Linked DNA regions of Nothobranchius furzeri. The protein of the gene in region 1 interacts with the protein of each later gene in a pairwise test. Links are inferred from orthologs where the notes say so. Each region holds a gene or a part of one and is shown in the gene's direction. Other genes may lie near its edges.

Region 1 (3,821 bases):
GTAGTGATCGCTTAGTTTAATCTTTAGTAACATGTTTTTTCATCTTCAGTAACAGTTTGTATCTCTTCTTAACAGGTCACGCAGCAAAGTCCATTTCCTCAATGTCATCTTATCCTTCCACCTCTTCATTTTTTTCCCCTGGTCGGGCAAAGATGAGCGTTTCCGGGCCGTCTTCTTGTAAATCCGTCCTCCCACCTGGCCCTTCCTCCTCTTCCTCTTCTTCATCCTCCTCCTCCTCCTCCTCCTCCTCCTCTTCTTCCTCCTCCTCTTCCTCTTCATCTGGCTCAGCTTCGTTGACACCTTCTGTCTCCCCGAGTCCACACAAGATCCACCGGGCCCGTAAGACCATGAACAGGCCTTCACCCGGCCAAGTAATGACTTCTGTTACACATTTTTATTCCCACAATTGTTTGTTGTTTTACTTTTTCTGAAAGGTTAGCATTTTTTTATTCGACAGGTGAGTTACGCTGAGACTCCTGCTACGTCGGGTTCCTCCACCTGCTTCTCTACTGACTCTGAAACAGGTAAGTTCTAAACTTCGATCATATTTACTCCTCCGATTGTTCTCCAGCACTCGTAATTACAGGTCCTCTTCTACTGTGTGGTTTTTAAATTAATTCAATGTACGCCGATCACTTCAGCTGGTTTTTGGATTGTTCGTACCGACCTGCAGCTTTTGGTTGAATCAGAAAACTAGTTTTCATGCAGAAGTCTCAGTTGGCACCACTCTGCTCAGGTGTTGCATGGCAGAATGAGCCAATCTTTGCCTCCTGATTCGGCTATATCTCTTAAACACATCGTTGCAACACCAACATGTCTTTTAAAACTCAGAAAATGCTCCTGAAATCTTGTTTTCCATGTAAGTTTGACTGTTTAAAAAACTAAAAAGGCTTTTTTTTCTCTTATAACTGTCACGCTTTGTGTTGTTTTTCTGTTTCCACCAGCTGCTAGAAAGAGAAAACTGGGTCATGTATCAGAGAGTAAATCTGAGAAGGGCGACAGCGTTTCAGAAAAAGGCCAAACTGTGGTAAGTTGATGTCTTCGTGTTTGATTTACTGGGGGGGGGCCGTAAGCATTTGAACACCTGAGGAATCGGCAGAATTCTGGCTCAAAGACATTTTACTCTAACTTCAAAGTCCACCTCTACTCCACATATTAATCTAAACTGGCATCACCTGTCTAAGCTTCTTAAGCACATCTGTCCACCTCACAGTCAGTCAGTCAGACTCCCAACTACTAACCATGGGCAAGACCAAAGAGCTGTCAAAAGACACCAGAGACAAAGTTGTGGACCTCCATAAGGCTGGAAAGAGGTACGGGGCAATTGCTGGGCAGGTTGGTGAAAATAGATCAACTGTTGGAGCAATTGTTAGAAAATTCAATTCAAGTTTATTTATACAGCGCCAAATCACAAGAGTTGTCTCAAGGCACTTCACATAATAAAGCATTCCAACACAGGCCAGGGGCCTCATTTATCAAGCTTGCTTACGCACAAAACGGGGTCGGAAAACTGCGTAAGCAACTTTCCACGCAAACTTTGGGATTTATGAAGGAAAACTTAGCGGAAAAATGTGCGCAACTTTAAGTTGACTAAGGACCTGGCTTACGCACATGTTGGACATGGAGAGCACCTGCAGTGCTGCTGCTGAGAAGGATAAAATTATGAAATCCTGCATTATTATCACTTGTACTGCTTCGTTTTCACACAGAACAAGACACCCCACATGCACACACATGCGCGTGCACACACGAGCTCGCGCACACACACACAGCCTGAAGTGCAGAATACGGAATGCAGAATATCAGCAGGGGGACAGATTGAGGCAGAATGTCGTGCGTCTGTGACAGTGTGTGTGTCTCGTCACTGTGATAAGATTGATCATGTGCCCTGGCTACTTGGACAAGAGAGATTACTGTTTGGCTGACTGGTTAGCGCGTGTGACTTTCACTCGGGAGTCGGGATCGACTCCTGTTTGGATCATTTTTTTATATCCGCCACAGGAACTCATCATTAAGCTCCTCGTGATTTTTATCTTGAAAGGCGCTATAGAAATGATATTTTCTCCTTCTTCTTGACGGCTTCAGCAACACTGTGCCACTCCGTGGATTTTCTCTTATTTGTTTTGCAAAAGCACTTCCTTTCATTTCGCCACCTCAACTTCTACTTGTGAAATTGGGCTTCCTTGGTCTGCCTTGATCTACGGTCGCCATGTCATTGGCGGAGCACTGCAACAAGCCGGCTTATGTATATGCATGAGATCCACAAGGCACTTTGCATTGAATATTTATGGCAGTAAGTGGGTGTGATGAGGGCGGGATGTGACCAAAAAGCAGCTGAGAACATTTGTAGATAGTTTCCGATTTATGGAGCAGAGATTGCGTGCAGCTGTGCGTACTCCATGTTTGATAGATCACAAACCTACTTGGTGTAAGTACTTTTTTTTTTTTTTTTTGCTGAGCTTAAGTACGGTTTTAGTAAGGATTCTACTCAATGTTTGATAAATGAGTCCCCAGTTCATTAAGCCAATCAGAAAAAAGTTTCCTATATAAGGAACCCAGCTAATTGCATTGAGTCACTGACGCTACAGCGATCCTCATACTAAGCAAGCATGCAGCGACAGTGGAGAAGAAAACTCCCTTTTAACAGGAAGAAACCTCCAGAGGATCCTGGCTCAGTATAAGCAGCCATCCTCCACGACTCACTGGGGATCAAGAAGATAGAGCAGACACACACACACACACACACACACACACACACACACACACACACACACACCAAGTAATGTTTCCATGGTTACATTGTGATCCTAGTGATTCTATAATTAAACGGGTAAACTAGTAGTAGCACATTCTATGTCAAAGAAAGTAAAATGTTATTATCAGGAGAGGGAGAATGTTTAAGTGGTTAGCAGCAGTGTGCTAGACGATGGCCCCCTCCATGAGGGCACCACAGCTCAGCAGAACATCGATGTAGCTTCTTCTGGGGAGAAAAACACTTAGAGAGAAAATAAAGTTAACAGCTGAAACAGCAGGAAATAATACAGTTAAAGAGCAGATTGTAGAAGAAAGTAGTCGAGTGTGGAAAGTGGTCAGTGTGTCCTCCAGCAGTCTAAGCCTATAGCAGCATAACTACAGAGCTAACTCTGGATAACCTAGCCTTTTACCCCCAAATTCCACTACCTCCGCTCCGCTCCGGTCCGGTCCGCCCCCGCCTTCCGCAGCCGCTCGCTTCCGAACTCAATTTTTACTGGTACCCGCTCTACAACGGCTCCGCTCCGGTGCGGAGACCTGAGGTGGGCAAACAAGCATGCGCAGGATTTTCGAGATCTTGCGATACAGTCCGAGCAATAAACGCGGAAGTTAGATCCAAACACCCGTTGTGTGGGAGAAGCATCAAAATGAACTGTTTAATCTGCCCATCATTTGTGTTGAGAGATCAGCAGTGTTTGGATCAACAAAGTGTGACTACTTTGATAGTAGAAACTGTATTTATGGCTTACTTTTGTGCATTTAAACTTCAGCTGCCACTGATAGTTGTTAAAAGTTGTTAAACCTGTGCATATGAAACAAAAAACGCCTTTTGTTTATCAATTTATTGTGAAAAACGGAAGTTGTGCTCGCTCCTTTTCCTGTTGGGCGTTTGTGATTTCTGTCCATTGACTGCGGAGGTGCTCCGGCGTCCGGCAAAAATAGGATCGATTCTATTTTTGCCGGACGCCGGAACAGAGGGCGCCGCACTGCCGGAGCACGGCCGGAGCACGGCCGCAATAGTGGAATTGCTCTGATTGACTAGAACGGGACCGATTTTGCTCCGGCGTTCT
Region 2 (4,445 bases), on another chromosome or scaffold:
TGTATTAGCTGGTTGTTGAATAGTTTTAGGCTTTGATAGTAAACTAGTAGGACCACATTTAACTGTAGTTGTTAACTAGTAAACAGTTCGGACATTTTTAGTAGAATGTCCTACCTCTACTATTTTTAGTAGTTGATACACGAGGAGTAGCACATGACTTGCTGCAATTACGTACATAGCAAGGAAAAATACCATCAACTAGTTAAACTTAGTGTTTTAATAGTAAATTAGATTTTACACATTTGTGTTGATTAGTTAACATAAAAGGGTTTTGATGCTTTCTAGTTAAACTGTTTATTACTGCTATCTTCAAGTTTTACTCAGTGATTTACTAAGAATACGTTAACTAGTTATGGGTTTTGACCTGCTAGTACAGCCCTTTGACTGACTACTACGACTTCAGCTTTAACTAGCTGGTAAAAATTCCCACTACATGGTAAAAAGTTATTGCTAGTAATGTTTTTATTCAACTTGAGCAGCGTTTGATCCAACTACTGTGGTGTAATGTTGGATTTGTGGAGCAAAAGAAGATTGGATAAATACACAAATGGCTTGCCATACAAACTCATCCATCCACAGTAAAATCCTTTGATGTTTGTCTTAAAATGTTTTGGCACAGCGGCACAGGAAGATGTTAAATTTCCTCTAATGGTGTTGTGAAGTCACTCTTTGTTTGACTTCCAACAGAAAACTGAGGAGGAGGAGAAGGAGGAGGAATATGTGCAAAGAGAGAACGTGTCTGAGGTTGGTTCCTCCCACCTGCACACAGAAGAAACCAACAAACCTTGATTTCCACCTACACAATAAGTGCACGCTCAGCCTGAACTCGACTACCTGCATCTCAGAAAATTTCCTTTCCTCCTGTAATGAATTAAAACACATCCTGTAAAACTGATCACGCCTCATTATCTGAGGGAAGTTCATTCATTCACACGGTGGTGACCTCTCCTTGATGGACTCGTACCGCAGCATCCACTCCATCCATCTCTGCTGCTCAGCCCACTCTCTTCTCTCTCTCTCTCTCTCTCTCTCTCTCTCTCTCTCTCTCTCTCTCTCTCTCTCTCTCTCTCTCTCTCTCTCTCTCTCTCTCTGCCTCTTCGTCGCTCTCCAGCTCCCTTTCAGCTGATAGAGCTTATTGTGGGCAAATGGGCTTAGGAGCATCGCTATGGCAACGGCAAATCGTAAAAAGCTACATAAGCACTTCATCAGGGGCTGTGATCCAATGGCTCCCCTTGGAGATGATGCCCTCAACCTCCTGCAACAAGTAAAGTCAGGCCGCCGAGGCTCCCGGGGGGAGGAGGAGGAGGAGGAGGAAAACACTCTGAGAGGAGGAGACAGTTCTGAGAGGATGGGAGAGGCGAGAAGGAGAAGGAGACCATCTATCTTCTGTCACTTTTCAGTATCCAGCTGGGTTTCTGGTGTCTGAGGATTTTCATTCTGTTCCGCTGGGATTTTGTTTCCTTAGTGACGCTCGTGACAAAACCTAACTCTAAAATCAGGTAAGATAAGGAAGATTTTACACAGAAAGTCTGATCGCTAGTTTTCTGATTTTATAACTGAAGTAGGCAGCAACACTTCACAGACAGTCTTTTGAAAATTCAGTATTTTTTAAACAAAAACCCTAAATCAACCTACAAATATTGTAAAACGTGAGAATTTTCTATTCAAAATGATTTCTAAATTAAAAAACTACTTTCTGATGATTATTTGATGAATGTTTGCACAAATAAACGCAGATATAAACAAATGTCCTTGACATTTAATGCATTTTTGCACCAGAATAACTTCATTTAATCAAAAATTGGACTCACCATTTCCAATACTCACATTTTTGTCTAAGTAACATCTTACCAAAATCAATGCAAAATAAAAGGATTTCTCTCTTTTATCCTTAAAATCTTCTCAACGATGAGAAGCTTCACGTTTTGCTTCGTGAAGAAACCTTAATATTTAATTTAGAATTGAGCATAGATGTTGAGCTAAATGTCTGCTTTGATCTCGTCTCGTCGGCTCGGTCCCCGGGTCGGTCTGATCGGCTGGTGGATGCATGTGCGGCAGCAGGTGTTGCTCTAATCCCACACCGTCTCTCTGACTTTTCCTTGGAACGTTGTGGTTAATCTGACCCACAAGTCCCAGGACAGTTCAGCCGAGGGAAGCGTGGAGAGCAGCTGCGATGCTGCATGTCAACAGATTATTGCCAGATTAAAAGAGGGCACTGAAACCCACATTAAAGAAGACAGGATGGATGTTTGCATTTAATCTGTGCTTTAAAACTACATGACTGAATGCTCATGATCGCAGCCGGAAACTTTATTTTTGCAAAATATTTAAATCAAACACTAACAGAAGGAGCAAAAATTAACACAAAGAAAAAAAACCTGATTAAATACCAATCATACGCTCCAGGTTTATTTATTTGCGGTACTTTTATCACAAAAAGGCTTTTCAAACAAAAGCTTCAGAATTAAAACACCTGCAGAACAAAGAGCTGGTGGAAGATGAGATGAAGGAGTGTTTTGATGTTTGTGTGAAGGACTGATATAAAGCTTTAGCCTTCACCTGGTTGGTTATTTTGCGAATCCTGAAAAGGAAAAAGAAAATCAAGAATCCACACATAAATCCATCAGATTAAGCAGACGTGGCAGTAATTTAGTGTCCCTACTTCTGTAGTGAAGGGTGGAGGAGAACGAGGTCATGGCCTCCTGGTTCAGCTGGAATGAGCCTTATTATCGGAGCCCCCGCAAAGACCCGGCCGACGTGGTCACCGACACCCTGATGCTGGAGTTCAGCTGGCAGCTGAAGGAAACCGAACGACTGCAGAAGGAGAGGGAGAACGAGTACCGGCGCCTGAAGAGCGGAGTGGATTACAGCTGGCTGGCCAGCATGCCTCGCTCCTCCTTCAACATCAGCACCGGGGAGAGGCTCGCTCTGGAGGACCTCTGCGCCAAGGTGCCCCCATCCTGCTGCGGACTGGTCATCCTCAAGTAAGGAAAAATAACTCTGAAGCAAAACGTCCGTTTGTTTTTTCTGAAACAACACTGACTTAAAGGTGCATTATGTAGAAATGAAGTAAAATGACATCCTGTGGTTAAATGTGGTTACCGCAGTCACTTTAAACAACCCGAGCTTTTGCCAGCCGTCGTCAAATTACAATTGTCGGAGCTGCAGCGTTAGCTCGCAGGAAACAGGGCAACCCCACACTCACTGATGGTAAACAGTAGTTACATCCCTCCTTCTTTTATTTTGAAAGGCGAAAAACTGACCATCAGTCAGATGGATATGAAACATGTTTCAGTTTAACCTTCCTTCCAAAATGACTGAAACATTAGACTCTTCTGGGACTTTGCCTCTGTAAAAGTCTCACTAAATTCTCACATACTGCACCTTTAAGGACATCTCGCAATGCTGCTGCAAGAAAGTCCAGATGTTGTCTTGACATGTTTTCTTCCAGCAGAGAAAAGCTAGTTAACTGGACTGACTGAAAACAAGTAAAAATAAAGTTGGTTTCATGTGCGCACCAGATTTTCTTTTTAGCCAAAACAATGTCCACGGACTCAGATTACTATAGCGAACAGCTGAGGAGGAATCAGAATCAGAGAATCAGAGAGAATTTTATTGCCAGCGCTCCAGCGAACCAGAGCATAGGAACTTGACTCCACAGAACAGCCTGACCAAGATTACACACACACACACACACATATAGACAGGACAGATACAGGCAGACCACGAGAGCAGCCATAACGGCGAATAGGACTTCATTTATAAAAACATGTACGTCATTTTGGATCAAGAACCCCAAACTTGACTTTGACTAATATCAGCTGAAGTAAATAATGTGCACAAGACACTATCTGGTGCACACAACATACTACCTAGTCAACACAAATTTCGTGTGCACAACATACTCTCTGGTGTGCACAAGTCACTATCTGGTGCGCACGACTATCTGATTTGCATGAGTTACTATCCGGTGCACACAACATACTATATGGTGAGCACAAATTACTATTTCGTGTGCACAACACACTATCAGGTATGCACGAGTTGTGCACAAGTTACTATTTGGTGCACACGACTAACTGGTTTGCACGAGTTACTATCTGGTGTGCATGACCATCTATTGTGCACGACTTACTATCTGGTGTGCACAAGTTACTATTTGGTGCACACGGCTATTTGGTGTGCATGAGTTACTATCCGGTGCACACGACACACTATATGGTGAGCACAAATTACTATTTCGTGTGCACAACACACTATCAGGTATGCACAAACAGTATCTGATGATGAAGAGAAAACTACTTTTTTCACATGTCCCCTCAGACGCTCAGTTGAATTTAAAACTTTAAGCACATTAAGCTTCATCCTCCTCCACATGGACGAGCAGATATAGGAGCAAACCGATTAGCTGACACATCTCCATCCTTTAATCTGAGAGCAGAGCG

Evidence for each region.
Region 2: the proteins of ehmt2 (region 1) and rd3 interact in binary tests that used the Homo sapiens proteins (3 or more experiments, as listed by UniProt). The two-hybrid records come from large-scale screens. The link is inferred for Nothobranchius furzeri from reciprocal best matches to the Homo sapiens genes EHMT2 and RD3.

Annotation. Positions count from the first base shown.
Region 1 is NC_091759.1:8,513,605-8,517,425, forward strand, and holds part of ehmt2 (histone-lysine N-methyltransferase EHMT2), read left to right. Parts: intron 1-75; coding exon 76-371; intron 372-457; coding exon 458-524; intron 525-944; coding exon 945-1,027; intron 1,028-3,821. UniProt on the Homo sapiens protein: Histone methyltransferase that specifically mono- and dimethylates 'Lys-9' of histone H3 (H3K9me1 and H3K9me2, respectively) in euchromatin.
Region 2 is NC_091742.1:7,770,451-7,774,895, reverse strand, and holds the start of rd3 (protein RD3), read left to right. Parts: upstream 1-1,358; 5' UTR 1,359-1,499; intron 1,500-2,670; 5' UTR 2,671-2,694; coding exon 2,695-2,984; intron 2,985-4,445.